Linked DNA regions of Callithrix jacchus. The protein of the gene in region 1 interacts with the protein of each later gene in a biochemical or structural test. Links are inferred from orthologs where the notes say so. Each region holds a gene or a part of one and is shown in the gene's direction. Other genes may lie near its edges. The genes, in order: FGFR1, FGF6, FGF8 and ANOS1.

What was found.
Region 2: the proteins of FGFR1 (region 1) and FGF6 interact in a biophysical measurement, tested with the Homo sapiens proteins (2 studies listed by BioGRID and IntAct, with this or other methods). The link is inferred for Callithrix jacchus from reciprocal best matches to the Homo sapiens genes FGFR1 and FGF6.
Region 3: the proteins of FGFR1 (region 1) and FGF8 interact in a biophysical measurement, tested with the Homo sapiens proteins (2 studies listed by BioGRID and IntAct, with this or other methods). The link is inferred for Callithrix jacchus from reciprocal best matches to the Homo sapiens genes FGFR1 and FGF8.
Region 4: the proteins of FGFR1 (region 1) and ANOS1 form a complex in vitro, tested with the Homo sapiens proteins (3 studies listed by BioGRID and IntAct, with this or other methods). The link is inferred for Callithrix jacchus from reciprocal best matches to the Homo sapiens genes FGFR1 and ANOS1.

Annotation. Positions count from the first base shown.
Region 1 is NC_133514.1:39,240,234-39,247,963, reverse strand, and holds the end of FGFR1 (fibroblast growth factor receptor 1), read left to right. Parts: coding exon 1-164; intron 165-1,319; coding exon of another isoform or gene 1,320-1,320; coding exon 1,321-1,465; intron 1,466-1,701; coding exon 1,702-1,823; intron 1,824-2,260; coding exon 2,261-2,371; intron 2,372-3,103; coding exon 3,104-3,294; intron 3,295-4,214; coding exon 4,215-4,337; intron 4,338-4,486; coding exon 4,487-4,557; intron 4,558-4,829; coding exon 4,830-4,967; intron 4,968-5,103; coding exon 5,104-5,209; intron 5,210-5,316; coding exon 5,317-5,493; 3' UTR 5,494-6,162; coding exon of another isoform or gene 6,163-6,219; 3' UTR 6,220-6,371; downstream 6,372-7,730. UniProt on the Homo sapiens protein: Tyrosine-protein kinase that acts as a cell-surface receptor for fibroblast growth factors and plays an essential role in the regulation of embryonic development, cell proliferation, differentiation and migration.
Region 2 is NC_133510.1:17,824,668-17,832,329, reverse strand, and holds part of FGF6 (fibroblast growth factor 6), read left to right. Parts: intron 1-4,032; coding exon 4,033-4,209; 3' UTR 4,210-7,662. UniProt on the Homo sapiens protein: Plays an important role in the regulation of cell proliferation, cell differentiation, angiogenesis and myogenesis, and is required for normal muscle regeneration.
Region 3 is NC_133513.1:94,725,711-94,733,936, reverse strand, and holds the start of FGF8 (fibroblast growth factor 8), read left to right. Parts: upstream 1-3,887; 5' UTR 3,888-4,005; coding exon 4,006-4,037; intron 4,038-4,129; coding exon 4,130-4,166; intron 4,167-4,680; coding exon 4,681-4,767; intron 4,768-4,984; coding exon 4,985-5,165; intron 5,166-5,856; exon of another isoform or gene 5,857-6,304; intron 6,305-7,498; exon of another isoform or gene 7,499-7,591; intron 7,592-8,226. UniProt on the Homo sapiens protein: Plays an important role in the regulation of embryonic development, cell proliferation, cell differentiation and cell migration. Required for normal brain, eye, ear and limb development during embryogenesis.
Region 4 is NC_133524.1:8,702,184-8,709,857, reverse strand, and holds part of ANOS1 (anosmin-1), read left to right. Parts: intron 1-934; coding exon 935-1,106; intron 1,107-2,072; coding exon 2,073-2,293; intron 2,294-3,416; coding exon 3,417-3,558; intron 3,559-5,028; coding exon 5,029-5,087; 3' UTR 5,088-7,674. UniProt on the Homo sapiens protein: Has a dual branch-promoting and guidance activity, which may play an important role in the patterning of mitral and tufted cell collaterals to the olfactory cortex. Chemoattractant for fetal olfactory epithelial cells.

The DNA of each region.
Region 1 (7,730 bases):
CCTGGAGATCATCATCTATTGCACAGGGGCCTTCCTCATCTCCTGCATGGTGGGGTCGGTCATCATCTACAAGATGAAGAGCAGCACCAAGAAGAGTGACTTCCACAGCCAGATGGCCGTGCACAAGCTGGCCAAGAGCATCCCTCTGCGCAGACAGGTAACAGAAAGTAGATGGGGGATTTGCACACTCAGCACCATCTCTCTCTCTGGGCCTCTAATCCGCTGGCCTCTCCACTGTCCCTAATCTACAGCTTTGGGCTTGGCTTTGTGGCTTCTGAGCCAGGCACAGGAGAATGTCATGAACTAAGTGCTCCAGAGTCTGTTTTAAGCTAGTGTAGCCTGTGAATCTTCTGCACCCTTCATATCCCATTGAAAGTCCCCCAGACCCCTGGCACATGGATTGGGAGGAAGTCCTATCTGGATGGAATGTGCAGCCAATAGCATGCATTTGAACTGTCCCCAAGGGCTGCTTAGAAGTGCAGAGATGCAGGGTAGAGAAGAGGACCGTATGTATTAGTCAGTTTTCACACTGCTGATAAAGACATACCCAAGACTGGGCAATTTACAAAAGAAAAAGATTTAATAGACTCACAGGTTCCACATGGTTGGGGAGGCCTCACAATCATGGCAGAAGGCAAAAGGCGTGTCTTACATGGCAGCAGACAAGAAAAGAGAGCTTGTGTAGGGAAACTCCTAAAAACCATCAGATCTCGTGAGATTTATTCACCGTCACAAGAACAGCACGAGAAAGATCTACCCCATGAGTCAGTGACCTCCCACCAAAAACAGGTCCCTCCCACAACACGTGGGAATTCAGGATGAGATTTGGGTGGGGACACAGCAACCATATCAGCCATACCATACTATCCCCTTGTCCTCCTGTGTGCCCACCCTTCCCCATGGAAGGAAACTGTTAGGTACAGGTGTGTGCAAGAATGACCATTCCCTCAGAAGCCTATGCTCATTCTGGAAGGTGCTTTGGGAGTTTGGAGTCCATAAGCTAAGGCAAAGTATTTGCAGAGTTGTGAGAATAGAGTTGTTACTGCAGTGATCAGTAATAAAGTATCAAGCTGGAAGAGGTGCATTTGATCTGCTTATTTTAAAGGTCAGTGAAATCCAGAAAGGCCAGCCAGTGGCAGAAATAGGTCAGTCCTAGAAGTTGGGCCTCCTGTGGTCTTCGGACCACTCTGTATTGCTGAAAGAACATGAGATACACAGAAACGTGCCTCTGCCATTGTTGGGAAGCCCTGACTAGGAATGGAAAGGAGTCGCCCTTGTCCCCGCTCCTTGCTCTAGGGTGACCCCACTCTTCCTTGCAGGTGTCCGCTGACTCCAGTGCGTCCATGAACTCTGGGGTTCTTCTGGTTCGGCCATCACGGCTCTCCTCCAGTGGGACTCCCATGCTAGCAGGGGTCTCTGAGTATGAGCTTCCCGAAGACCCTCGCTGGGAGCTGCCTCGGGACAGGTAACAATGCTTTAACTCCTAACTTTTTGAAGGCATCCTTTGCTTGCTATTCTAGTGGTAGAAGGTGTGTATACTAACACCTTCAGGGCAGTGAAGGTGTGTGAAATGCCTGCAGAAACATTCATTTCCATTTTCTGCTCGAAGTTGGGTGAAATACAGAAGTGGAGATGGGGTGCCTCTCAAAGTTTGAACTTCACCAGCCCCAACTTAATGCCGCTGTCTGTTTTCCCTGAAAGACTGGTCTTAGGAAAACCCCTGGGAGAGGGCTGCTTTGGGCAGGTGGTATTGGCAGAGGCCATCGGACTGGACAAGGACAAACCCAGCCGTGTGACCAAGGTGGCTGTGAAGATGTTGAAGTGTAAGTGATGCTTCTGTCCTTGCAGAGACAATCTTGTCCCATTCCAAGCAAACAGCAAGCCTCAGGCCCAGCAGAGCAGCTTCTCTGGTGCTTTTGCTGCCCACACCTGCTCCCCTGCCTGCTTGGGGTTACCTGGGAGTGGAGGGGGTGTTCTGCACCCTGAGATTGTTCTGTGACCTCACTCTGTTTCTTGGCATCAACCTGGGCTATGGTTAGGTTTTTATCCTGGATCTATCAGTTGCTGACATTTCTCCCCACATCCCTCCCCGCTCACTACCACCTATTGCAACAACTCCCATGAGAGGGAAGGTGGAAGTGGGGAGGAGAGAATCAAGTCCAAGAGAAAAGCGGCCCCTCGGAACATACCCCTCTACCTTAGCCTTTCTCCTGCCCTCCTCCCTTCCAAAAGTAAATGAGTCTCAACATGTTCTTTAAAGCGGATGCAACAGAGAAAGACTTGTCAGACCTGATCTCAGAAATGGAGATGATGAAGATGATCGGGAAGCATAAGAACATCATCAACCTACTGGGGGCCTGCACGCAGGATGGTGGGTCCCGGCCAGGCTGGCCTTCCCTCCCCAGCAGGCAGAAGGTCTGAGCTGTTAGGGAAGGGGGTTGAGAGGCTGCTTTGGCAGAGGTTAAAATGTGTTTCTTGGGGTCTGGGCTCAGCCCATATGTGTTCATCGAAGAATACAGATACCTAGATTCACACACATGGTGTGTTAACAGAGACAGCTGAGTAATTATGGTCTAAATTAGGGTGCTCAGGCTGGGTACAGTGGCCATGCCTGTAATCACAGCACTTTGGGAAGCTGAGGTGGGAGGATCACTTGAGATCAGGAGTTTGAGACCAGCATGGCTAACAAGATCCCATCTCTACTAAAAATACAAGTTAGCCAGGCGGCATGGTGCATGACAGTAATCCCAGCTACTTGGGAGGCTGAGGCAGGAGAATCACTTGAATCTGTAAGGCGGAGGTTGCAGTGAGCCGAAAATTATACCACTGCACTCCAGCCTGGGTGACAGAGCGAGACTCCATCTCAAAAATAAATAAACAGGCTCTTATCCCAACATTGCTTGGGAAATTTCTGGACTATGCCAGGAATAACTATTTATCTGGTTTTCTTAGGGTGGTAGAATGGATTTCCCAGGTCCCCTAAAAGGAGGCAGGAGAGGGGAGGTTGGCTGGGGTGTGCTGCTGGGGGTGGGGTTTCCATGAGGTGATGCCAAACATGCTCACCTGCTGCCGGCTGCATGGCCTCTTCCTCCTATGTCCGCAGGTCCCTTGTATGTCATCGTGGAGTATGCCTCCAAAGGCAACCTGCGGGAGTACCTGCAGGCCCGGAGGCCCCCGGGGCTGGAATACTGCTACAACCCCAGCCACAACCCAGAGGAGCAGCTCTCCTCCAAGGACCTGGTGTCCTGCGCCTATCAGGTGGCCCGAGGCATGGAGTATCTGGCCTCCAAGAAGGTGTGGACCCTGAAAGCTCCCCTGGGTATTGCTGGGGTGGGAACAGAGCCCTCCCAGTCCTCCAGCCTGTGACTTGTCATCTTGTGGTGGCGTTGTGGATGCATTGAGCACGGGCCCTGTGCGTTGTCTTAGGCTCTCTGGCAACCAGAGTCAGGAGAACCAGTGTAGCCAAGTGGCCTTGGGGTCAGACTGCTGTAGGGTCAGATCTGTACACTGCCATTTTCTGTGTAGCCTCTTATAATTCTTCAAGTACAAAATAAGAATAACATCAGCTGGGTGCAGTGCCAAGGCAGGAGGATTGCTTGAGCTCAGGAGTTTGAGACAAGGTTGGACAACAACAGTGAGACCCTGTCTTTAAAAAAAAAATTTCAAAGTTAGCTGGGTGTGGTACTGTGTGCCAGTAGTCCCAGCTACTCCGGAGGCTGAGGTGGGAGGCTGACTTGATCCCAGGAGTTTGAGGCTGCATGAGCCATGATCATACCACTGCAGCAGAGCACGACTATGTCTCGGAGAAAAAAAAGTATAATAATACCTATGTTGTAGAATTGTTATGAGGATAAAATGAAACGATGAGCATTGAGTGCAGTGTTTGGTGTGTAAGCGCTAGCTTGATTTGAGCCCAGCTCAGTGTGGACTTGCTTTGCTGGGAGGCAAGACCTAGGAACCTGCGCAGTGTCAGACAAAGCAGAGGCATAAAGGGCCAGCCTTCGGGGAGGGAAGGGAGGAGCACTTGCTGTGATGATTGAGAAGCCTGGAGCTGGCAGAGAACATTCTAGAAGGGAAAGCAAAGGTTCGGGGCAGAATAGTGTAGGCAGAAGTCTGTGAGGCAAGTCGGCCAGTTGCACAGGTGGTGGCCCCCAGAGCCTTCCAGCTCCCTCACCTCCCTCCCCTCCCCCTGCTCTCCCTTCCTCCTTCCTCAGTGCATACACCGAGACCTGGCCGCCAGGAACGTCCTGGTGACAGAGGACAACGTGATGAAGATTGCAGACTTCGGCCTCGCACGGGACATTCACCACATCGACTACTATAAAAAGACAACCAACGTGAGTGCCAACAGGGCCGCCCCATGCTGGTGGTTTCATCTGAGAAGCGAAGGGTGGGTGGGATGGCTTGAAAACCCACCCCCAGTCCCTTCCCACCTGTGTCACGGCCCAGCCTGGGGCCACCCCAACCTCCCCGGTGCTGCTTGCAGGGCCGACTGCCTGTGAAGTGGATGGCACCCGAGGCATTGTTTGACCGGATCTACACCCACCAGAGTGATGTGTGAGTTTGCAATAAGCAGTTGCCAGGGAGGTGTGGGATAAAGAAAGGATAAAGAACTTCCACCACTGCAGAGTCCTGCATTCCCCCTGGACAGAGGAGTCCTTTCGCCCCAAGAGAAAAGCAAAACATTGTGGCCATTGCCTCTGCTCCAGATGTTGAAAGGATGATCTGTTCCCCACGCTGTCTCCTGGCACTGCCCTGGGTGGAGGATTTGTGCTGGAGGAGGGGAGGCAGAGAAGCTCTAACACCCATAGCTCTGCATCTGTCTGCAGGTGGTCTTTTGGGGTGCTCCTGTGGGAGATCTTCACTCTGGGCGGCTCCCCATACCCCGGTGTGCCTGTGGAGGAGCTTTTCAAGCTGCTGAAGGAGGGTCACCGCATGGACAAGCCCAGTAACTGCACCAACGAGCTGTAAGTCTGAGGAGATGTCGGAGGCCCCAAGCCAGGCCCTGGGGCAAGAATGGGCTTGAGGGGCAGGGGGCTATACTAAAGGGTGTCCATCTCCAGGAGGCAGCCTTTCCTCCCTGACCTTACAGTTCTGCCCCAGGTACATGATGATGCGGGACTGCTGGCATGCAGTGCCCTCGCAGAGACCCACCTTCAAGCAGCTGGTGGAAGATCTGGACCGCATAGTGGCCTTGACCTCCAACCAGGTAAGGCTACCTGTGCCAGAGCTCAGGCTGTCCCCACTGCGCGCATGCACCTCTCTGAGCAGGGAGGAGGGGCCGAGCCCATTGCTGCTTCCTCTCGCCCCTCACAGGAATACCTGGACCTGTCCATGCCCCTGGACCAGTACTCCCCCAGCTTTCCTGACACCCGGAGCTCTACGTGCTCCTCAGGGGAGGATTCCGTCTTTTCTCATGAGCCGCTGCCTGAGGAGCCCTGCCTGCCCCGACACCCAGCCCAGCTTGCCAATGGCGGACTCAAACGCCGCTGACTGCCACCCACCATCAGCTGTAATCCTCACCCACAGCCCCTGCCAGGCCCACCGCCCGTCCATCTCTGTCCCCTTTCCTGCTGGCAGGAGCTGGCTGTCTACCAGGGGCCTTCCTGTGTGGCCTGCCTTCACCTCGCTCAGCTTACCTCTTCCTCCTCCTCCTCTCCACCTGGCAGTGAGAGGTGCAAAGAGGCAGATCCTTGCTGCTGGCCACTTCGTCCCCTCCCAGATGTTGGACCAAGACCTCTCCCTGCCACCAGGTGCTGCCTGGAAAGTGGGGAGTGGGAGCCGATGAACAGGCATGCAAGTGAGAGCCCTCTGAGCTTTCTCATTTGGGTTTGGTGTGTTTCGCCTTTACCCAGAAGTCCCTAGCACTCTGGCGGCAGGTGCCTTGTCCTCAGGGCTACAGCAGTAGGGAGATCAGTACTTTGGGCCTCGATTGAAGGTGACCTCTGCTCCAGATAGGTGGTGCCAGTGGCTTATTAATTCTGATAGTTGCTTTACTGACCAAATGCATGGTACCAGAGGATGGTGAGGCAAAGGCCAGGTTGGGGGCAGTGTTGTGGCCCGGGGGCTCAGCCCCAAACTGGGGGCTCTGTACATAGCTATGAAGAAAACACAAAGTGTATAAATCTGAGTATATATTTACATGTCTTTTTAAAAGGGTCATTACCAGAGATTTACCCATCGGGTAAGATGCTCCAGGTGGCTGGGAGGCATCAGTTGCTATATATTAAAATCAAAGAAAAAAGAAAAAAAAAGAAAATGTTTTTAAAAAGGTCATATATTTTTTGCTACTTTTGCTGTTTTATTTTTTTAAATTATGTTCTAAACCTATTTTCAGTTTAGGTCCCTCAATAAAAATTGCTGCTGCTTCATTTTTCTATGGACTGTGTGAAAAGGGCAAGAATGTCCACTGGAAGAGGGACACTCACAGGCTCTGGGGCTGGCTCTGTCACAAGGGCACCGCACGCTCCCTGTGCAGGTTCCTTGTAACCTCTTCCTCCTAGGTCCCGCGCCCAGACCTCACGACACACCTCCTGCCTCTCAGATACTTTTGGAAAGTCAGGAAAAGAAGATGTCTGCATCAAGGGCAGGAACCCCCATCCATGCACTAGAGGCGCTGGGCAGAGGGCCAAGGCCCAGCAGCCATTGACCACAGATGGTTTCCTCTGAGGAAACCTGTGGGGTTGAGTTGGGGAGGGGGACACCTACCTAGGAATAGCGACACGGGGTAGAGCTAAAGTGATTAAGAGGAAGCTTCACACCTGTAATCCCAGCATTATGGGAGGCCGAGGTGGGCAGATAACTTGAGGTCAGGAGTTAAAGACCAGCCTGGCCAACATGGCAAAATCCCATCTTTACTAAAAATTCAAAAATTAGCCTGGCGTGGTAGGCATGTTATCCCAGTTAACTCAGGAGGCTGAGGCAGGAGAATCCCTTGAACTTGGGAGGCGAAGGTTGCAATGAGCCAAGATCACGCCATTGCACTCCAGCCTGGGCGACAGAGCGAGACTCCATCTCAAAAAAACAAAAAGGAAATCGAATGATGAAGGTCTGCCCCCCCTGTATGGGCGTGGTTTTGCTGGTGCTTCTAAGTGCAGGAGAACGTGTCACCTGAGGCTAGTTTCGCATTCAGGTCCCTGGCTTCTTTTTTTGTTGTTATTCCTCCCCAGATCGTCCTTCCTGTATCCATGTGACCAGACTGTATTTGTTGTGACTGTCACAGATCTTGGCTTCTTACAGTTCTTCCTGTCCAAACTCCACCCTGCCACTCAGGAAGGGGGGAAAATTCTCCGAATGTTTTTGGGCTTTGGCTGCTTGGAATTTACTTCTGCCACCTGCTGGTCATCACTGTCCTCACCAAGTGGATTCTGGCTCCCCAGTACCTCATGGCTCAAACTACCGCTCAGCCGCTATATTAAAGCTTACATTTGCTGGATTACTGCTAAATACAAAAGGAAGTTCAATATGCTTTCACTTCTGTAGGGAAAATAGGATTGCTGCTTTAAATTTCCACGCTAGGTATTTCTTGGCAGCTGCAGTGTTGGTCACTATTGTAAAATTATTTGTTTCTCTCTGTAAATAGGCACCTGCTTACATTACAATTTGTATTTATGTTTAAAGAAGGCATCATTTGGTGGACAGAGCCAGGAAATGAATTTTTAGCTCTTAAAATCATTTGCTTTGAGGCCGCACAGGAGTGTCTTTCCTTGTAAAATAGTGATGAATTTCTG
Region 2 (7,662 bases), on another chromosome or scaffold:
TCCCAGCACTTTGGGAGGCCGAGGCGGGTGGATCATGAGGTCAACAGATCGAGACCATCCTGGTCAACATGGTGAAACCCTGTCTCTACTAAAAATTACAAAAAATTAGCTGGGCACGGTGGTGCGTGCCTGTAATCCCAGCTACTCAGGAGGCTGAGGCAGGAGAATTGCCTGAACCCAGGGGGCGGAGGTTGCGGTGAGCCGAGATCACGCCATTGCACTCCAGCCTGGGTAACAAGAGCGAAACTCCGTCTCAAAAAAAAAAAAAAAAATTCTATTTCAGGGGTACCCTTAAAAATTTTTTTCTTGATTTTAATGTTACTCTTTTTTACATTTAAACCTTTGCTCCTTTTGGAATTGATTTTGATGTAAGGGATAAAGTCATACACATCAAACTTTTATTATTATAATAAAATATCATTCAGTTGTTCCAACATCATGTTTTCTCTAGTTATTTAAAGTACCACTTTTACTTTATAATTATTTGGATTCCCTTTATTTTACATCCATGTTTTATGTGTCAGGATCTACTGCCAGATTCTCTCTTGTTCATTTACCTCTACGAGACTTCTCATTAGTGTAGCTTTACTTGGAATGTTTCATGAGTTCTGAGCTGAATTTCTGCTGGTGCTGCTGCTCCCAGGCTTGCCCATCAACAGTCGAAGTACTGGGACTGAGTCTACTCCCTGTGCACAGTGCAGAAAACCAGGGTCCAGAGAAGCTCCTGCTGAGGGCACGTGGTTCAGAGCCAGCATCAGCCTCTGACCTTACTCTCGCTTCCTGCTCTTCCAGGTCAGCTCACTGTCTCCCAGCCACCAAGGTCAAAAACTGCAGAGCTTAAAAGCTAAATTGTCCAGTAACCCACAGCAAGTCTTATGGGACTGGTGATCCAGGGTAAGGCAGTCTTTTAAGGTTTTTAATGTAAAGTCGCTCATGATTTACTTAGAGAAGAATACTAATAATGATTTTTTTTAAATTTTACTATATAGCAAGCATTGTTCCCAGGACTTTCCACGCATTATTTCAATTAATGCTTATTCCAGTTCTACGACATAGTTTTTCTTACTGTTCCTACTTCGCAGAGGAGGGAACAGTCAACTTTGGAGGTTAAATGATTTGCCAAAGCTCACATAGCTAAGTAAGAGGCTACTGTCATCAGTCTAACTTGAAAGCTGTGGCACAAAAAAAAACACATATTGTGCCACGATGTTGATTAGTTCATCCTTGTTTACCAAAATGGGCGTCCCTTCATTCACCCATTTGGCAAATACGTACTGAGCATCCCTAACGAGGAGAACAGGAAAGCTTACGAAAACCCATCCCCCTCATGTGGCATTAACCAGTTGATATGGCTGGTGAATGTCTTCACGTTTATCTCAAGCAAGTTAATATCAGTAAAAGTGCTTTGTAAATAAGCTGCAAGCGGGAGAGAAAAACATAGGGAAAACGTATGAGGGGGAGTTTCACTGTGTTCCCATAGGCAAGGCTGTCCCCTCACCCACTCCCACATCACATTGAAAGAGCCCCCCATGCAGGGATCCTCTTATGTTTCAGTGTTGTCCTTATTTACTTATTTGTTTATTCTTGAGGCAGGATCTCACTCTGTCGCCCAGGCTGGAGTGCGGTGGAGCAATCGTGGCTCACTGCAGCCTTGACCTCAAGTGATTCTCCCACCTCAGCCTCCAGAGTAGCTGGGACCACATGCATGCGCCACCATGCCTGGCTTTTTTTTTTAATTTAAGTTTTTGTAGAGACAAAATTTTGCTATGTTGCCTAGGTTCCTCTCAAACTCCTGGGCTCAAGTGATCCTCCTGTCTTGGCCTCCCAAAGTACTGGGATTACGGGTGTGAGCCACCAAACCCATGTTGTCCTTATTAAACCAGCACTGACTCAGCATCATGTACCATGCAAGACACAGTCCTCATCTCGGGGATCTTGTAGTCTATTGGGAAAGAAAGTATGGCTGTTCAAAATGTTGCCAGAGAGGTCCACCAAAAGGGCTCTGGGAGTCTGGGGCCCCTGAGAGGCAGGCTACTTACCAGCCCTTCTGAAGAGCAAGAGCCAAGAGCTTCTCATCTACCGACATTGCCGTCCAGGTACGATTCCTTCACAGGTCAGAGAACACCGCTGGCACAGCCCAGCAGCCATTGAGTGGGGTTTTTTTAATGCCTGAGCAAGAAGGAGTCAGAAGTTATCCTCCACCCATTTCTCATTCTATAGTTCTTTTTAAGAGTAGATCCTGGGGCCAGGCATGGTGGCCCATGCCCGTAATCCCAGCACTTTGGGAGGCTGAGGCAGGTGAATCATGAAGTCAAAAGATCAACCCCATCCTGACCAACATGGCTAAACCCTGTCTCTACTAAAAATACAAAAATTAACTGGGCATGATGGTGCATGCCTTTAGTTTTAGCTACTTGGAAGGCTAAGGCAGGAGAAGTGCTTCAACCTGGGAAGCAGAGGTTGCAGTGAGCTGATATCATGCCACTGCACTCCAGCCTGGGTGACAGAGCAAGACTCCATCTCATAAAAGAAGAAAAAAAGAGTAGATCCCAGGTCTCTGGCTCCCACCTGGCTCTGTTCTTCTAGCTCCCACCCCCACAGGAACAGGGAATACCTGCACACTCCTTCAGGGCAGCCACCCACCCAGGCGGGTTGCAGATGAAAGAGCCTTCTTTTCTAGGAGAGAAGGAGGACTTGGGGGTCATGTACTAGGAATGAACTTGTGCATGTGAGGCAGGAAGTTCAGTGTTCATGTTCTGAACAGTGGTCCACACACACTCCTCTATCACATTAGCATGGAAAGGGCCATTTTTTGTTGGTCCCAGTCTCCTTGGTGTCACTATCATATTGGGAACCAGGTCTTTTTCCCAGTAAAAATCCCTGCTCCTCACCATCTCTGTTCCTGCATATCCCTAGAGAACTAGGATTGTCTAGGACAGAAGTTCCCAACCTTTTTGGCACCAGGGACCAGTTTCATGGAAGACTATTTCCATGGACAGGGTGGGGGATGGAGGGACGGTACTGGGACAAAATTGTTCTACCTCAGGTCACCAGGCATTCTATTCTCATAAGGATCATGCAACCCAGATCCCTCACATGCAAAGCTCCCAACAGGGTTCTTGCTGAGAATCTCATGCCTCTGCTGATCTGACAGGCGATGGACTCAGGTGGTAATGCAAGCGGTGGGGAGTGGGGATAAAACAGATGAAGCTTCGCCCAGCCACCGCTCACCTCCTGCTGTGCAGCCCGGTTCCTGCACTGGCATGGGCCACTGGCTGGTATGGGTCTGCAGCCTGGGGGTTGGGAACCCCTGGTCTAGGAAGTACCAGACATCTAGGCTTAAAGTCAAATCTGAGAATGGGCCTATTTGAGGGATAGAAAACTTGGGACTTAAACCAAGAAAGGTGGACTGAGGAACCACAGATGGAAAGAAAGAGAGACAGCGCTGGAAAGGGCTTAAGAGAGCGTCTGTGTCTCCTCCCCCTCACCAACCACCTCTCTCCTTCCCACAACACACACAGTTTGCAGAAAAGAGAATGAGGCTGAAAGGGGAGGAGCCTGCCCAAGGTCACAAAACTGGGAAGTAGAAAAGTCACGAAATAGCACCCTGGGCTCTCATTCCTGCTCCAGTAGACTCCCTCTCACCGTGCACTTGAGAAAACAGCGTATTGTATCATTTCCTGGTCTGTTCTTTGAATGGAATAAGTTACCATCTAGGGACTTAGTAGAAAGTTATCTGGAAGTCAGGAGACCCGAGTGGCAGGGCCTCAGCTCTGTCCCACGTGGCACAGACCATCCCCGTGTCCCTGGGCCTTCTAGTAAAAGAGGGAAGAAGGTGAGAGGAAACCATGAGAGTCTGCAGCCTCTTCCCATCCTAACCGCCCACCATTCTGTTCACCCAGGATGCTCAGACCTCACAGTGGGAAAGGAAGGGGCACCCAGCAGAGGGGCCTACTCTATGCAGCCCAGCTGGCATCTGCAGCACTCCTCATTTGTAACCCAGTCCCTGCTTTTTGCCCATGTCTTTCACAGCCCAGCTTCCAAGAAGAATGCAAGTTCAGAGAAACCCTCCTGCCCAACAATTACAACGCCTACGAGTCAGACTTGTACCGAGGGACCTACATCGCCCTGAGCAAATACGGACGGGCAAAGCGGGGCAGCAAGGTGTCCCTGATCATGACTGTCACTCATTTCCTTCCCAGGATGTAAGGACCCACAAAAGAAGGCTCACAGATCTAAAGCAGCAAGTGTCCTACTGGAATTTTGCACAAGCAGATAATTCCCCTTGCCCTCCATGGCTTCTGAGTCAGGCTTATTTTGCACTTGGGGAGACCCCAGTTGTTGCCCTTGGCTGCTGGACCCCATGGCATGTAGCCCATTCAAGTGAGGGTTGCAATCAGCACCTTAGAATGGCAATGGATCCCATGCTCTGACCTCCCTGGAGGAGAGAAGTATCGGTGACACTTGAGGAATGTGACCATGTGCAAAGGAAAAGGCCAGGGTAGGGGCTTGTGTGCATTGTTGTATATCTATACAGCGTTCTATATATTCTCAGAGCAGAGGCATTTCAAAGCATCGAGTTTCTCTCTCCCAGCATCATCACTGCAGGAATCTGCCTGTACAAATGTCACTTGTCAAACCAGTATGATTGATGTGCGCTCCCATTCTGCCTTGTTCCAATCATCTTTCCTTTCAGAGGCTGCTGACCACGTGAGTTGCACAGGCCAGCAGGGAGCAGCCATCCTCAAAGTGCAGAGACAGCAGGGTGAGAGGTGTAAGATTGTATTGCAAACCCGAAAGAAAGTGATCAGGCACTTCAAGATTCCTGCCAGTGAGGGCTCTGGGGATACTGGGATGAATTGTCAGGGAAGCTGGGGGGAAGCTGTTTCCTTCTTGGAGGAAAGGGGTAGAGCAGCGTCCAGGGCAGCTGGGGAAGGCTTGTGGAGGCAGCAGAAGGCACTGGATGTTCTAGGAGAGCCACTCTGCCTGGAGAACTCAGGCTGTATGTGGCTCCAAGAACAAGCAGGGCCAGGCTGCCTGCCCATAATGTTTCCTCACTTTGAACTGGTCTTATTTTAACCACAGATGACAAGGATCCTAATAATGGCAACCTCTTTGGCGAGGGATGAGGACAAAATAGGGCATGAAGGAAGTAGAGAGGCTTTGGACTACAGATGGTAATTCCTCTCCAACTATGTCCAGGAAATGCACCCAAGTTCTTATCTGATACCCTCACTTCCTTCTTGCTCATCGTCATCTCACATACACGCTGTGCCTGGATGCAGCAAAATGGGCACAGTGACCTCCAGGGTTTGTGCGCTCTTCCTCCCTGCAGTAGAAGAGGAGCGATAATCCCATGAAGTCAAGAAGCCAAGCTGAAGCAGCTCCTTGCCGCACGATGCCTTCTTGCCTTCTGTCCCTAAGATGATTTAAAGCAGAGGTTCCCCAGCTGACTATAAATGTTGTCTGCCTGGAGCCTTCAGATTCCCAAACCATTGGAATGTTCCTAAATCTGAAACCAGAGAGAGCCCTATCAGAGTGCAAATATTTTTGGCATATATGAACCATCGAGTTACAAAATGACCTGACACCCTCTGCGACTCCCGGGGGCCCCGGCCTGCAAGACAATCCTCATCTGTTGCGAATACCTTCATCTTCAACATACCTTACTATTTGCAGTTGCATCCATCTGTAGGTGGATCCGGGCAGAGGAATTCTGAGCTGAAGATGGAGGTCGGTAATCGAAGGGAGAGACACCTCACCGGCCACCTCCTCTGCCCTGCAGATGTCAGAAACGACATGTGCTGGGTGAGGAGGAAAAAGCCACACCAAGGTACGTGAAGATGGAAGAGACAGTAGAAACCCTGAAGCACGTGTGTGTGTGGCCGAGCCTCGGATGTGGTAGAAAAGGGAGAAAACTAGTCCATCGTGACTCTTTGGAATATTGAAGTGCAGGTCTGCTTGGAGGCAGGGATTAAGCTGACTGGTTTTTAGGGAGTCTTGTTCAGTGCAATCAGTCTCTTGAACAGGGTCCATCAGGAATGCAGGCACCCCGAACCTGAGGTACGTATCAGTTCCCAGTGGAGCTTGGAGTGTGGAATGGCTGGAGGATGGCGTGACTATGATCCAGAGAAAAAAGGAGTTTTAGGTCCCATAACATAGGTTCCCTTCTTCCAAGATCTTTCAGCTCACATGGCATGAGAGGAGCCATCTTCGAGAGAATCCTCAAAGCCTTGGACTGCCAGCCCTTTCCTTCATCTCTCTAGAGAAGCATAACATTGCTCAAATCCTGGCAAGGTGTTTCCCCAAATGTCCACTTTCATTTTCATGCCAGGAATGAGAAGGAGAAGCTAAGAAATGCCTACAATCAAGCAGGCATGCTATTCAGCCACTGCATAGCAGTTGCACCAGCACCGGTTATGAGGGGCTGGGTGTCTGTCTAACTGGTACCAGGGCCCATGCTATATCAGTTGCTAAATATTTGGAGGTTGGTTGTTTGTGACAGGGTCTTGCTCTGTCACCCAGGCTGGAGCACAGTGGTGTGATCTCAGCTCACTGCAACCTCCACCTCCTGGGCTCAAGTGATTTTCCTTCCTCAGCCTCCTGAGCAGTTGGCACTACAGGTGTGCACCACCATGCCCAGCTAATTTTCTTTTTCTTTTTTTTTTGGTAGAGACAGTGTTTTGCCATGTTGGCCAGGCTGATTTTGAACTGAGCTCAAGCTATCTGCCCTCCTCAGACTCCCAAACTGTTGGGATTACAGGCATGAGCCACCATGCCCATCTGGTTGCTAAGTACTTTGAATACCACCTTTAGATGCAGGGATGTGTGGGTGACTCCTTAAAATCCTTCCCATGCGAAGAAATTCTCTCAAGGGCTTTCTGTTTTCCTATAAGTGACTTTAGGCTTAAGAAAAGTCAATCCTTGGCTGGGTGCGGTGGCTTACACCTGTAATCCCAGCCTTTTGGAGGCCGAGGCGGGTAGATTGCCTGAGCTCAGGAGTTTGAGACCAGCCTGGGCAACATGGTGAAACCTCGTCTCTATTCAAAAAAAAAAAAAAAAAAAGGAAGGAAAGAAGGAGGGAAGGAAGGAAGGAAGGAAGGAAGGAAGGAAGGAAGGAAGGAAGGAAGGAAGGAAGGAAGGAAGGAAATGCCAATCCCCATCCACAGAAGTGGATTAAGAGACAGGACCAGAGTAAGATCAGCAGGATGCATTTCAGTCCCTTCTCTCTGGCTTCTGTATCTGTGCCCTGGCATGAAGAGTTGTTTCCTATCTGGTCACATGTCCACTGAGTGCTGAACTCGGTTGTCAGGCCCATTGGATCCCAAAGGCTGCAGAAGACATTGCTATATGCAGGGCAACCAGAGAGCCCCACTTTCCCACTGAAGATGACTAAGACTTGGCTCTTCCATTCCCCGAGTGCTGAGCAAGGAGCCTGGTTTACAGAGCTTTGTAGCCAGTTCACCTCCCTTTCATCCTGAACCTTCTTTGGCAGCCCCATGCAAACTTGGAGTTCCGAGGGCAAAGAGGCTGTTTTATTCTCTCTTCAAGAGAAAATAATAAAGAGGAGAGCAGCATATCTGCACACACTATGAGATGCACCTCTCAGCTGCAGCTGAAGAGGTTAGCTTAGAAGCCATGGGGGAGCCCCAGGCTCCTTGT
Region 3 (8,226 bases), on another chromosome or scaffold:
CACTGAAGTTTGCGTGTATGCGTGCTTACGTTCATTCATTTGAAGGACTTGAGTTGGATCGCGGAGTCGGGCCGCGGCCCTCCTTTTTCCCTTCCTTCCTCCTCTTGGCTCCAGGCTCCAAAGTTCTCCGCACGTGCTTGGCCGGAGGTGCGGGAGATTGGCTGAGTGCCTCGCAGAGTCAGCCCTCCCGAGAGGCCTCCCTAGCTGACCCATACCCCCTGCGCGGCCCCGCCCCAATATTAACCCCACCCACCCCCCCGCGATGCCACTGATTGCTCCTTGCATTCCTCGCCAGTTTTCCAAGCCGGTGTCCTGGTGGGTGCGGGCCGGCGCCGAGCACGCTCCTGTCCGCAGTGGGGGCCCAATCCACATCAGCCTCTCGGCCCAGGAGTTTCTCAGCCGGTTGGGGCACCCCGCGGACGCAGCTGGGCATGGTTTTTTCTTCTCTCCCCCTACTCCCTTCTCGAGTCCCCTTCTTTGCCCTTCAGCGCACAGTAAGAGCGCTGCTGGCCCACTGTGGCCTCCGGGAGCTGGGGGATGAAGGCGTAAGCCCGAGTTACCGACCGCTGGAGGAAGGGTAGGCTCCTATTGAGGGGCCGAAGGGGACAACTTCCAGACAGCGGCCGAAGTGCTTAACGTAGTCTGGGCGATTTGCATTTGAACGGTCAGCAGTGAGTCCGCGGCGCTTTGAACGCCCGGCGCAGGAAGCGCGCGTTGGAGTCTGCTGCGGTCCCCGGCGGGTGTGGAATCGAGGGGCCGGGGGCCGGGCTGGGATCGAGGGGTGCGTTTGGAAATAGGCTGACAGACTGTGTCTGGGTCCCGGCGAGGGCGTGTCTGCGGAGAGGGGCCGTTTGTGTTGGCTAGGAGTGTGTGTTTGTGTTTGCAGGCGAGGGAGTGTGTGTCTGTGCGTGTGTGTGTTTGTGTTTTCGGAGTGTGGGGGCGGCCGAGAAAGGTGGCCGGGCTGTCACTTAGCGATCAGGTTGACAGGCGCTCCCTCATCTGGGCCCAGGAGCTCTGATTGCAGATTCGAGGAAACAAAATAGCAATTGTAATTACCGGGCTTTGATAAGATAAAGGAGGGAGGGAGCTGGCCGGGAGGTGAGCGAGCCAGAGAGGGAGGGAGCGGCCTGCGGGAGCCCGGCGGGACATTTGCATCTGTCAGTCACGGGTGTGCCCGAGCCGAGCCAGGTGCTTGCTCCCGGGGTGTCCCCATCTGCTCCTCTCCCCCACAGATAGGGACTTTTGGGGAGATGAGAAGAATTTCAATGAACTAGGTGAGGGTCCACTTCTCAGGAGGGTTTCCAAATCCAAATGTAAAGGAATCCTGGTCCAGCACAGGCTTCCTGGCAGAGGCTGGGACAGGACTGAAACTTGACCTCTGACCCTTCAGATCCCAGGACACCCATCTTCTCTGGGGCAGAGGAAGGAGTGTGGCTGAAGACCATTGAAGCTCAGCCCAGGGCCCTCAGAATCTTCTGGGGGCTCCACAACCGGAGCTGAATGCTGACCTCTGCCAGGGGCTCTGTCCCTATCCCCATTCCAGGGAGGGGAAGGTGCTCCTCTGGCTGTGACCCCAGGACCATGCACACACTGTTGGGGGTGGGTCACCCTCACCCCTGCCTGGGGCCTACTCCCTGCTCTGCTCATCACACTGATGTTCAGAGTCCATGGTGAGAGAAAGCCTGTTTCTCTCAGGAAGTGCCTGTCCCCTGCTCTCTATCTCTCCATTCATTCATTTGTTCATCATATTCACAACTAAACATGGTTGAGGGCTGCTGTGTACAGGGATGAGGGTAAGACCACGAGCAAACAGACATCGCCCTTGCCCTCTTGAAGCAGTGCAGAGAGGGAAATAGACACTCAAGGAATTGTGACTCAGGCCTTGAACAGAACACAGGGATGGCAAGGGCTGGCTTGGGCTGTGGCCACTTGAGCCCACCTGACTTTCTTCTGCCTCATGGGCTCACCTCCCCATGAGCTTCCAAGGAGACAGTGCCTACCAAGCCTGTAGCAGATACAAGTGCTCATAATTCGTGGTGCTGATGATGATAATCTTTTGGGAGAAGGTGAAGGCAGGTCTTCCTGGAGAAGCTGCAAATGAGCTGAAGTCTAAATGCTCAGCCACTTTCCCCATCACTCATTTATTCATTTAATTTCATTCATTCATTCAGTGAACTCTTAACTGCAGAACAATTCTATCCAGCATTGTGCCACGAGCTGTGATTTCTGAGCCCGTAAGACATGATTCTTGCCACAAGGTCTGTGTGGGCAAGAGCCCACTGAACAGACTACTGAAGTGAGATGGCAAGTGTGCCCAGGAAGTCTACTTCTCTGAGGAGGGATAAGATCTTGGAACACACCCTCTGTCTTTTCCCATCTCTCCATTGCTCAGTGTTTGCATTGATGTCTAGGAGTCAGAAAAGATGGGGCCCCGTGAAAAGTGGGACTCGGAACAGGGAGGGAGGCAGGGTCTAGTTGTGTGCTGGACTAGGGCTGCCTGCTCCCTTTGGCCTACTGGCTTGCTGGACCCACACCAAACCCTCCAGCCCTACCCCCAGGGACATGGAGGGTCAGTGGGGAAGGGTAAATTGTGGGTAAAGGCAACAGCCTGGTAGGGCATCACCTGCTCCTCACAAGGTACCTGTCCCAGGACACCCTCTGCCTACCCAGGCTGCTCCTACAGAAGCAGTGTGGGGGCTCAGGGTTTCCAGAAACCTCAAGGGGGAAGCCACGAGATGAGGGGCTGGGAAAGGCTTAGACAATTGCCTACCTTCTCCTCTGCCCTAGACCCAGCTGACCAGCCCCTGCCTAGAATACAGTAGATGTGTAAATACCTGTGAAATGAAAAATGAATGGGGCTTTGAGGGGGAAAAGGCTGGGTGGCCTCCATCGAAGTCACTTCCCCCAGGAAAAGCTGCTCAGAACAGTTATTTTTGCCCCTGCTGCCTGCTGGGGTAGGGGGACAGTGGGTCCTGCCAGGCATCTCCTGGCTCCCTCTTCCACACAAGTGGCTCGGGGTGCCCCTTAAGCTTCAGGCTAGTGTATGTGTGTGGTGAGGGGCACAGGGGAAGGGGTAATGGTGATAATGGAGTGGGGGGAGGGGGAGGCATTTCTGGCTCCCAGGGCCTCCTCGGGAGACTGAGACTGGGGAGAGCGGCAGGGCGGGGCACGCGGCCGAAACGGGAGCAGGGTCCGGGTGACACCGTCACGCACTGTGCCAGGGCCGGGTGCGCAGCCCTTCACCGCAGGGTTAGCGGCGCTGCTAACAGGCTGGCCTGGCAGGACACACAGTAGGTGGCTCTGAGACCAAGGCGTAACGGGGTGGGTGGGGGGAATGAAGCGGCCCGGCCCCGAGGCAGAAGACCCAGCCCCGCCGGACTCGGGCGCTCCGGGAAGCCCGGGCCCAGGGTCTCCCGGCCCCGCAGAGCCCGAAGCACCAGTCGCCCCCATCCCCGCGCGTCAGGGCCCCGAGAGCTCGGGCGGGGGGGGGGGTAGGCTGGGGATAGGGGGAGGCGTCCAGACCGGCCGCCCCCACCCCTCCCGCGGGTCCCCAGACCCCTCCCCTAGCCCAGACCCCCAATCCTGGACCCGTGGGCCGCCCCGCCCCGGCAGCCCCGCCCCCGCCCCGGGCTGCGTCCAGGCCCCAGTTCCCAGCCGGGGGCTGCGGGCTCCCGTCGCCCGCCCCGCGCTCCCCCTTCGCGCCCGGTGCGGCGCCCCCCCGCCCCCACCCCTCCCCGCCCTCCCACCTCCCCACCCACCCTGCCGGCCCGTGACCCTCCCGCCCGCTCCGGCTCCCGAGCAGCCTGCGGCCACCGGCTCCGGCAGCGGCGCACAGCGACTCGGCGCGGCGCGGCGAGCACGACGTTCCACGGGACCGGCGGAGCCGCGTCGCGATCGCCGCCGGCCTCCGGCACCCGCACCCTCTCCGCCCGCGCCCCGCTCCGCGCGTCCCCCCGCGGGACGGCGTGATCCTGCCGGGCTCTCGGTGCCTCGGGGCCGCGCGCCATGGGCAGCCCCCGCTCCGCGCTGAGCTGCCTGTGAGTACCGCGCCGCCCTGCCCTGCCGCCCGCCCGCTGCGCCCCTCGCCTCACCCGCGCCTCTCTCTCCCGCCCGCTTTTGTCTCCCACAGGCTGTTGCACTTGCTGGTCCTCTGCCTGCATGCCCAGGTGAGGAGCGCTGCGAGGAGGCGGGGACCAGGCGGGCCGGCGGGAGACCCGGGTGGGCAGCGCCGGGCGGGGGCACCAGGACTGACCCTGTGGCCGGCCCGGGAGGGCTGAGGGCACCTTAGAAACCCAGCCCCGAGCCACCCTAAGGAGGGAGCTGAGGCACAGAGAGGTAGCGCCCTGCCTGAGGTCACACAGCGAGTGGCCAGGATAGGAGCGCGGTCTCCGAGCCCAGCACTGTCCCCCACAAATCCTCGCCGGCTGGGGCATAGGGAACACCTGGCCGCCGAGGAAGGGGGCAGCCGGGACCAGGGGATGGATGTTCGATGTCAGGGGAAGCCGGGTGACTGCAGCAGACTCTCTCCGCATCCCTCGGGGGAGTTTGTGACCGGCTTGGCCCAATGATCGGGTGCCCAGGTCCCCTGCATTCTCAACATTTGCTCCGTAAATTTGTCTTTATAAATGTCAGGGGTCGGGAAGCGCTGCCTCCCTACTTAAAAGCGCCCTGCTCCTCTAGGAAGGCCCCGGCAGGGGCCCTGCGCTGGGCAGGGAGCTCGCTTCCCTGTTCCAGGCTGGCCGGGAGCCCCAGGGTGTCTCCCAACAGGTGGGTCCAGCTTCTCCCCGGGGCTCGTTTATAATGGGCTGGGTCTGCCCCACTTGCCTGGGTGGGGGTTGGTGGCCTGGGGGGGCATGTTGGGGGAACCCCTAGCACCTGCTGGCGGCTTGGGACAGTGAGGGGGAAGCAGGGTGATGGGGCCACTCGGGCCCCTGGGCGGAGTAGCATTATAATGCAGTGTTGTGTATTTTTCAATTTCCTAAAGGTAACTGTTCAGTCCTCACCTAATTTTACACAGCATGTGAGGGAGCAGAGCCTGGTGACGGATCAGCTCAGCCGCCGCCTCATCCGGACCTACCAGCTCTACAGCCGCACCAGCGGGAAGCACGTGCAGGTCCTGGCCAACAAGCGCATCAACGCCATGGCAGAGGACGGCGACCCCTTCGGTAAGGCACGATGAAGGTCGCTTGTGGCATGCGCGGCTCCTGGACTGCCAGCCCCAACTGCATTGGCCGGAGGCCTGTGGGGTCCCCAGCCCAGAAGGGAAGGAGTTAAGGCAGAAAAGTGTCTTGAGGGTCAGCTGGGGAAGAGGGCTGGGGAGGGGGCATTGGGGAGTAGTACTTGGCCACAGGTGCCCCTATCCTGCCCAGCAAATGAATGAATCTAGGAATCTCCCTTTATGCCTCCCCGCTTCATACACCCCTCCCCAGCTGCAGGTGGAGGCAGGGGGTTCAGGGGAGGGGGCCCAGGTTTAAGGGAAGCTCTTGAAAGTGGATATGTCGCCAGGGTCCACAAAAGGAGAGTGGGAAAGAAAAGGGAGAAAAATCCCCTCAACTCTCCCATGTGGAAAAGGGGGTTGCTGGGAACCTTTAAATACTTTGATCAGAAGGGTCAATTACACGTGGGGACTGGGCTTGGAACAGGACTCTCTCTGCTCCACTCTCCCAGGAACCCGGCGGGCTGGGGCAGGACTCCCAGCTCCCTGTGGGGTGGCGAGTGCGGGGAGCTACTGCCGGCAGGGAGGCTGAGAACTGATTGATTTCTAAAACATTCAATATTCCTGCCTTGAAACAGGGCCAATTTCCAGAGTCCTGGATGTACCAGGAGAAAAGCAAGCCCTCTGGGCGGCTGGTGTTTTTAGAGAACGATTATTGTGAGTTTAAAAACCTTTAAATAATGACCACGTTAAACAAGCATGAAAGGAGAGGGGAAGACTCTATTAAAATGTAATAAAAAGGTGAGGCATTTTAAGAGCTAAGAAGAAAAACGAAGAATGATATAAAACAGAAAAAGAACGAGCTTTTTTTTTCAGATGTGGAGTTTGAAAGGAGTTTCAAGTCTGTAAATGTTAAAAAAGAGGTTCAAGATTGTTCTCTCTTAATCTCTGGAGAGACCCCCGCGTCTGGCAGAGCGATTAAAACTCTTCTTACTTTCACCTTTTTTAACATTTCCTGAATACTTTCTCCTCTTCTTGAGCCAGTTTGGGGGATCGACTATGTCTCGCTGCATTTTTTCTGCATCGACGTAGCTGACTTCCCTTCAAAGCTGGAGGAGGAGGCATAATTTTCCTGGGATAAATCTGTCACTGGGGTGGAAGAATAGGTTTGAAAATGTTAAGCTTTCCAAAAGCCCAGTCGGGAGAGCTGCCATAAACTGCGGCCCCAGCTCCCCAGCTCCCCAGATCCGAGCAGATTCCGCCGACCAGGGAGAGAGGGGCTCTCTGGGGTGGGGGTGGGGGCGGCCTGCCTGGTGGCCGAGCTTCCCTGCTGGGCTGGCAGAGCAGCCCTACCATCCCTTTGTCCCTCCAAATTGGCTGCTTGCTGCCCTTCTCAGCTTCCAAGGAGAGGGAGCGAATGCCTGGCTCTTCCAGGGTTTGCTCTCAGAGCAAATGGCCCAGCATCCTTGGATTTTGGGGAGGGAAGCAGAACACACGCTGGTGTGGGGGAATTTGTCTTCAGACATCAGAGGAAGTCTGATGCCCATTTCTCTCCTGGGCCATATAGGAGGTTTCCCACCTTCCCTAGTCCCTGCCCCATGGCAGCATAGGCGCTGGAGGTCCTAAGAACAGAGGCTCAGGGCATTTGGCCAGGACAGGAGGAGTCTGGGGAAAACAGCAGAGAGGTCTCAATGGCTTCTTCACCCGCTGCAGGATGAAGGAGGGCACAGAGGCACCTCCTTCACCCCTGCCTGCCGCATCTGGCCAGAATCCCCAGAGTGGCATCCTCTCACTCCTTCTCCAGTCAGCAGCCTTCCTGGCTGGCCCTTAAAAATAGCCACTTCTTGCTGTGGAAGGCAACGCAGGAGAGGGATGAGACTGGTTAGGTCCAGGAGGAGGTGGGTGCGCAGGGAGGTGACAGCTGCATTTCCTCTGCTGACTTGGGGCCAGACTGGGGGCTTGGCCAATGGGTCCCAGCATAGCATCTATGTGAAGTGGGGGGAAGTTACAGGCTGGGCAGTGATGGCTACCTTGCTGACCTCAATGCCCCCAACCCCTGCCATGGGTTTCAGGGACAGAGGAGGTACCATGTGTCAATGCAGGCTAAATCCCAGAACTGCTTTCTCAAGGAGCAGAGAGGCTAGGCTCTGCGACAGGGAGGGCAGGAGAGCCAGCACCTCTGTCCCTTCCCAAACAGTGGAGTCAGCCTCACTACTTTCTTGGGGACAGCCTGTAAGAGAGGTTTGCATAGCTACGTGAACGGGACAGGCTTTTGTGGCAAGTTGGCTGTCTAAGGGGAAGGGACTGGGGAAGGAGGCACAGAATTCAGCCTTGCTTCCTGACCTCCAGACTAAGAGGCTAGCGGTCCGATTCTCCCTCCTCGTCACCCACCAAAGGTATTTGGTCACTGGGGTGAGAAGCCCAGCTGTGATGAGGCTGAAAGAGAAAAGAGAGAAAAAACAATTGAGTTGTTGATTTCTGGACACTGGGGTTGGGGACCCTTGTGACTGGGAAGCCACAGGGAAGAGGCAGGATCCTCCTGGCAGGTGTCTGAGGTTCTGGGAAAGCACCCTGCTTTGGGCCGTGTGTTTATGGGGAGCTGTCTCCACCCCTAGCACGTTCTCAGCAGAGCAGAGCCTGGCGGGGTTCAGGGGCTGGGGGTGGCCGAAGCTATGAGTTAGAACCCAAACTGGCAGGAACAGGAGAGAATGCTTTTATCTCTGGCCTTGGGACTGGAGGTCACCACTCACCCAGATGTTTGTATTGACCTCTGAGGCACCTGCACATAATATTCGGAGTTGGAGGCTCCTCGGAGGTCTTTTGATTAGCCATGGAACTCTGATCAAATTAAATTTTACTTGGAGCCTCAATCTAAGAGACATCACTGTCTGGTTTAAAAAGAGGGTGGAAGGAATAGCACTTTAGCTTTTGCAATCTGATGGTCCCAAGACCTCTCTTGAGAACCCAATTTGGGGAAAATCATGATCCCATCCACTGCCCTCTGTAAACCCAAGGGTGGGACCTGAGGTCCAGAAAATCACCTTGCCCTTTCTCTGGGTTGCACAGCATAG
Region 4 (7,674 bases), on another chromosome or scaffold:
TCTTGTCTTGTTTTCCTGTCAGCCCTGCTGCTTTCTAGCAAGACCCCCTACCCGTAATTCAATGAATACTAGAGATATTCCATCTGTACCTTTTTTTCTGTCTCTTAAAATAATTTTAAATAAAACACATAAAAACCATAGAGTCTCACTACGATGCCCAGGCTGGTCACAAACTCCTGAGTTCAAGCAGTCCTCCCACCTCAGCCTCTTGAGTAGCTAGGACTATGGCACAAGTCACCATGCTCGGCTATCCATCTGCACCTTTTATACATATACATTAAGAATTAATAAATACAAAACTGAATGGATAAGTGTAACTTAGTCAAATATAAAAGAAAGAGAGCTACACACCTGTCATCACAGGAAATGTCATCTTTTGACGTTATCATAAACTTACGTTCCTAGCCTCTGACTCCTTACCATTCAGGTTTTTTCTTTTATTTATATTTAATCACAACATTATGGCATAAAACAGTAAGCACTCCAAAAAAGGGAAAAATTACATTGCTAAAAAAATAATCATTTTTTAACAGAAAAACTTACATATAAATGAATTAATCTATGTCTCAGAAAGGCCTGACTTTTTTTTTTTAACAGAAAACAGTTGGATTTGTATTTACAGCTTTACACCACTACCTGCACTGCCCCCAACTCAAAAATGCTGGTTGTGACCTGAGAAGTAGCCTGCTTTGCTGAGGAGTTATTATGATACTGTTTAATTTTAGAGGGTATATCCCATGGCCATGGGAGTGTTTCACAATTGTCATTAATCAAAATGTACACAGTGTCTCCTTTGTACTTTTTATAAAAGCCATATTACACACACTATATGGGGAAACATCCTTGTTGGATAGAATATTATTTCAATTCTTGCCAGTGTTTTTTAATCCCTAATGAGATTTATTGCTAGCATATTCTCTTTCTCTTGCTCTAGGAAAATTATATAATTCTTCAAGATCTGTCATTTTCCTGCAAGTATAAGGTGACTGTCCAACCGATACGGCCAAAAGGTCACTCCAAGGCAGAAACCATTTTCTTCACTACTCCTCCATGCTCTGCTCTTAAGGGGAAGAGCCATAAGCCGGAGGCCTGCCCTGGAGAAGCAGGTATGTTTTCACCTGAAGGACTTCCCCACATCTAGGTCTAAGGTGTCAGCAGCAATTTCCAAACATTGCCAAACTGCATTTCATAAGACCATAAAAACCAAAAGTGTCCCTCTTTCTAAGTTATGTTATGATGGCCTGATGTGGAAGGAAGATATTTAGGAATGAATGTGTTATTTTATAAGTCTAACAGCCTTGGAAAGATGTCCTTTGATAGTAATATTATCCCTTTGGAAATGAAGGGAAACATTCAGATGCCGCTTGTGTTTTGGCAAAGTTTGATACAATTATTTCATTTGTATCCCATCCCTTTGCTGTGTGGATTATATTCACACACTTTCCATGCCAATGCAGCAAACCTGACATGTGTACCTTCCATCCCCCTTCTTGCCAAAGCGCCTGTCTTGCAGTGGGAAAAACTCTATTTAAATGTCCTGGATTTGGCCGGACATGGCAGCTCATGCCTGAAATCCCAGTACTTTGGGAGGCTGAGATGGGAAAATCACTTGAGCCCTTGAGTTCTGACCAGCGTGGGCAGCATAGTGCAATCCCACCTCTAAAAAAATGAAAGAAAAAAAAAGCCCTGGATTTAATAGCTCTTCGAACAACTTTAATATTTACCTTCTCACTGCAGTCATTGCTATTCTTTAAGAAATAGTTAAGTCTTGCCAGGGTCTTAACTGCTCTCCTGCTTCCATCTTCAAAAGATCATTCTAAGAAAGGATCCCCGAAGGACTGGAAGAAACATTTAGCACAAAGTTGTAGTGATGAGATTCCTACTCAACCTGTCCCTATATGTCAAAGGGGTGATTGCCTGAACCCATGTTTAAAGAACAAGGTCAGATTGTTTCTATTAATATCATCCCACAGACTAGCTGCTGAACGTTCCTACGATGAATATACAATGGATCCCATGGTCACACATTCTCTAGTAGCCTAATCCTGGTTTTCCTTCTTGCATTGCTGCAGGTCATGTTCTTTCTAAGGTGCTAGCTAAGCCTGAGAACCTTTCTGCTTCGTTCATCGTCCAGGATGTGAACATCACCGGCCATTTTTCTTGGAAGATGGCCAAGGCCAATCTCTATCAGCCCATGACTGGGTTTCAAGTGACTTGGGCTGAGGTCACTACAGAAAGCAGACAGAACAGCCTACCCAACAGCATTATTTCACAGTCCCAGATCCTGCCTTCCGTAGGTGCCCCCTCTTATACTATGTCCTTCTCATTGGTATCTACTGCTCTTTTTTAAGACCTTCAGAGATGGCTGCCTCTGTCATTCTGTGTGCTGTACCATTGAGTCATATTTCTGTATTTTCTTCTTCTGAGTATATCTTTTGCAAGAATTAACACATCACAAATATATCTGTGCATAGTTAAGACGTAGCATAAGCTGCCGTCTAAAGTTTGATGGCTAGAGCCAACTCGTGAAAAGACTGTACCCTATCTTGTGTCTAAGTGATTGTGCCACTTTCTTGTCTTTGTTAACCTCACGTCTCTCTGGTTCAAGTGGACATGCCCTGTTTGAAGTGTTGGATTGGGCGGGGGAGGGGGCAGGTATAGCTAAAATAAACTTGTTTGTCTTTCTTCCCCTCACCTTCAAATTTGGCTCAAGCCCATAATGAGTTGGCCTGTCTTCCAGGCAACTTAATTCCTTAGTTTCAAAAAAAAAAAAAAAAAATCATGTGTGGGATTTTACCAGCTCGCTGAAAATGCCCTTGGAATAGCCAACCACCATTAAAAAATTCAAAAAGGGAAGAAAAAAAAGAAGAAACACAACTTAAATCTCAGAAAGAAAAATTCCATGGAATAAGAGAGTAGTTATTCTAAATGTACTAGGTTTTATTGAGTTTTGAGAAGAGTGTATTGGCATAAAAATAAGTATTTTTACTTATGGGCATTGACAGATATTGTGTTTTAAGAAAAATAGTTGGCTCATTTACTGAAAATTGGAAATTATCAAGAATTCGCATCACAAGATGTGCAGCTGAAGACTTTAAACCATGGGAAAGTCTTATGTTAAGGAATAAAAAAATAAATAAAATCCCAGGAGTGAGCCCTGAGAACTGGCATCTTGGCACATTTTAACTCTGCCAAATACCTTAGGCTGCCAAGAATTGAGTGAGGTGCTAAGAAATCATATGGCAGAGAACCCCCATAAATGAGGAAAAATATTTCTCTTTGCCTTTACGAAGCAACCAAACTTGCCTATGTATGATATTCTCGAGTAGGGGAAGAACTGTCCTAGCCTATCTGCACACTGTGCATCGTCTCTGAAAGGTTGTCGGTGAGCATCCTCTTTCACCTTGCCCCCTTAGGATCACAATGTCCTAACAGTGCCCAATCTGAGGCCGTCCACTCTTTACCGACTGGAAGTGCAAGTGCTGACCTCTGGAGGGGAGGGGCCAGCCACCATCAAGACCTTCCGGACGCCGGAGCTTCCACCCTCTTCAGCGCACAGTGAGTGGGGTGCCAGGGCATTAAGGTGTCCTGTCAGATCTTGTGGACACAGAAAAAAGTCTTGCTGGAAAATGAAAACAAATAAATAACACTATTACAGGTTTCTATGAGATAGGGAAGTTGTGATCACCTGAAATTCTTTCTCCCTGTTTGTACCAGCTCACTGGACTCTATTCCAGGTACCTGTAGTATAAATTGCATAGCTGATGCTTAATTGCTCTTTTTCTCCTTTCCTTCCCATTTTCCCCTTTTCTCCCTTTTTTGCTCCTGCCTTTTTTCCTTTCTCCCTCCATTTCTCCCTCCCTCCTCCTTTCCCTCTCTTCTTTTCTCTTTTCCTCCATCCTTCCTTTTCTTTCCTTCCTTGCATTTTTCCCCATATCATGCTTCCTTTTTTCCTTATCTTTTAAACCATAAATGAATATGGGAAAAAAAATCTATAGTCTCATATCAGTCTGAAATATTTTTAAATCAAGATTTTCAAATATCAAAATATAGGAAATAATATTTTGCTAAGGAACATTTTTTCTTGTCACATAGATATTAATTACTGTAATATATGTCATCAATTTTCTTCATGATATGACCCAAGTCCACCTACTTCATTTATTGCTAAATCAAGTCCAAGTTTAAAAGAAAATTGTCACCTAGATTTTCAAAACAGCCTCTTGCTGATTTTTAAATTACGTACTTCGTTTACTTTATTTTCTAGCTTAAATGTAAAAACCAGTGTCTAATGATAAATGTCTAGTGGATAAAACATTGAGAATTAGTCATAGTTTTAACTCTGATTATTTTAAATGATAGATTAAATTTGCCCTAATAAACTTGGTATGCTTATAATTTGAAGAAAAACAATACCTAGGCTGGGCTCAGTGGCTCACGCCTGTAATTCCAGCACTTTGGGAGGCTGAGGCAGGTGGATCACCTGAGGTTGGGAGTTTAAGACCAGCATGACCAACATAGAGAAACCCCGTCTCAAAAAAACAAAGAGAGAGAGAGAGAGAGAGAGAGAGAGAGAGAGAGAGAGAGAGAGAGAGAGAGAGAGAGAGAGAACAAACAAAAACTATCACAATGGGAGAGCTTGATAGCCTCTAAAATTTTTGTCAGATAAAATGCTTTTCTGATATTCCTTCATAGAAATTCTATTTAACAAAAGTTGTTGATAGTTTTTAACACTTCTTTGAGCAAATAAGAAAGGATTATGGTTTGACTGAATAATTGTGAGCTTAAGGAAAGGAACTTGTTTTCTTTTTCTTGTTATTTTATGGTTTGGGAAGGCATCAAGGAGAAAGAGAAAAACAGGGAAAGGAGAGAAAGAATGTTTGTACATTCAGATTCAGAATAGGAAAGACGGGGTCATAGGAAGGAACATTTGCCTGGGTCTCATGTTTTTTCTACAAATAAAAGTAATTCAATCATTTATTTGATATGTATAAAGGGATGTGACTGATATATTTTGTCACTTTTTAGGATCTCATCTTAAGCATCATCATCCACATCATTACAAGCCTTCTCCAGAAAGATACTAAACTATTCAGGAAGATTTTTAAAAATTGCACAGATGTGTAAGCTTGTTGAACTTTGGCCACGAGACATGCACACTTACAGAGGCAATGGGAATTGCTCAGAGGCCCCAACTCTCCTATGTGACTTTAGTGCAGGAAGAACTTTTGTCAATCACAGATGCATCTGGAGACAAGTGAGAAATAGTTGACTGGTAAATACAGATACCAGCTCCCTACAAGAATGGAGAAAATTAAGAATAGGCCTGTTTAACTCTAAATTCTGTTTTCATGTATGGTATCACTCATTTCTATAGAATTACAGCAGAACTCAGTTTTCCCTGAATTTGGAGCACCAAACTCCTCACAAAAAAGTAGAGTAACAAATACACATTTCACATATAACACTAAGCATAAATCTAATCAATAAAATATATTTTTGACTAAGTTATTGATTTGATATGAAAAATCAGATTATACAGCTTTGTTTATTTGAATCTTTCATAAGATCATTTTTATCCTCAGTGATTTGTAAATGAAAATACATAATCTAAAATATACCAGCGAATTTAAATCTAAAAATGCTTCTACTTTAAGTACCTTATGCTGCTTTTTAGACAAAGGTAAATGAAAGTTCCCTCTATAAATTATGGTTTACAAGACATCCAAAACAGAGAAACTCAATGAAATAAGCTGCTAACCAGATTTTACCTTGGAGAAATGAAAATTATTTCCTGGGGATGCTTTTTAATATTCGATCCCATTATGTGAGAGATTTTCCTGATATGTTATCTTATTTATATTTTTCCCTTATTTTCCTCAATACAGATAATAGGTGTTGGTGTACTTTTGTTTCACCAACTGAAAATTCACAAAACTTCTTGCTTCAAACGAAAAAAATCCCAACTATCGAGCATGTTTAGATCTTTGCAGAGATTTGTCTTTTCATAAAGCAAGCTCTTGTATGCTTGAATTTTATTAGTAATGTTAAAAAAAGGGCTTTGATTGATAGAGAAGGACAGTTACTTGTATTTAATTCATCTATATGCATTCAAATCTATTATATCTTACCTTTTGGAAAATTTTATGCTACAGATTACTCCCTTGTAGCATGAACTTTAGTCAAAACATGTTACCAGTATAGAGTGTTGCAGTGTGTATTGTAACCTAAAATGTAGAGATGTTTAATACTGTTTTTTTCTTGAAGAAAACACTCACATACATGGTTTGAAATCTGCATAGATACGCGTGTCTATATACACACAGACACATGCATATATATAAAGAGACCTTGAGCATGAATCTCTGAAGAAATCATTTTCATAGCTCACCAATGGTGAGTAAAGATATAGCTCTTTTAAAGGTCATGAGGATCATACGTTTTCCCCATCAATGCTGATTCTGAGAAAAGAGTGATTTGTCAAAATTAAACACTGTAAAAGAAAGGTGCCCCCATGTCATTACCTACCTAAGTAAAACAGAAAATCAGAAACCTTATCCTTAGATTTTGACAATCGTACTTGCTTCTTGTTGTTTTACTGTTTCCTGAATTCATGCATATGCCTGACCATTCCTGGAAAGAGTGGAGAACTCAGAAGTCATTGACTCCACGGGGCTTCACTGCAGTGTCTAAAGGCAAATGCAAATTAAAATGCAGAGAAAGTACTTTTATGATGTCGATGGATGTGTTTAGGAAACACATTTATAAACATGGATACCCAATAGTAAATATTGAAACCTGTTTCCTGTGTGTTAAACTATATGAAGAGTGGATATTACAGCTTTGTACAAGTTACTCAAATTGGACGCCTCAGAACGAAAGTTCATGTAGGTTCTGAATGGTTTTCTGCAGCTACTGTCACAGCTGGGATGGATTTATCACACTGAGTTGTGAAATTACCTGGCTCTAATAATTTTTGAATGGTGAAAATGGAAAACAGTCTTTATTTAAAAACATCCCTAAACTTAAATAAACTGATACCACAGATATCTTCTCTAAAACTATGCTTTATTCTACTGCCATTACCAGCATCTGAATTTCAAGTTCTTAAAACTTTTGAAAATTAAAATTTTTCATTATTGGCTGTTTATCTTTTTCATGAATTTGTCATGAACAAATCCAAATATTGATGCCAGCAAATTTTTGTACTGTTGTATAGTTAAAAATGCTGGGAGTCTATACATAGCTACAAAATATTATTAAATTATTACATTTAATTTTATAAAACTTAATCATGCTTCTTTTGTCTGGGTAATAGAGATTGGACAGATATTTTTAGTTCATATGGTGATTCTGAAGCTTACATCTCCCTTAAAAAATCTAAACCAGCTCTTATGGGCTTCTAATTTTGCTATAAATAAATAATTTAAATTTTATTGGTGTTATTAGAAGAAAAACCCTATTAATGGGGTAATAAGTGTTTCTCTTGTGAATTTTAATAAGCTCCAATATTATTCAGATGATCAAAAATATAGTTGCAATTTTTTGAATTTTAAAAATGTGATTGCTCTAATAAAGGATAAAACCTATGTTTTTAAACAAACATAGTTTTGGTACCTAATCCTGTAATACGTTTTATTGAAATTAGATGCATTTCTCTAATGTGAGAAAACT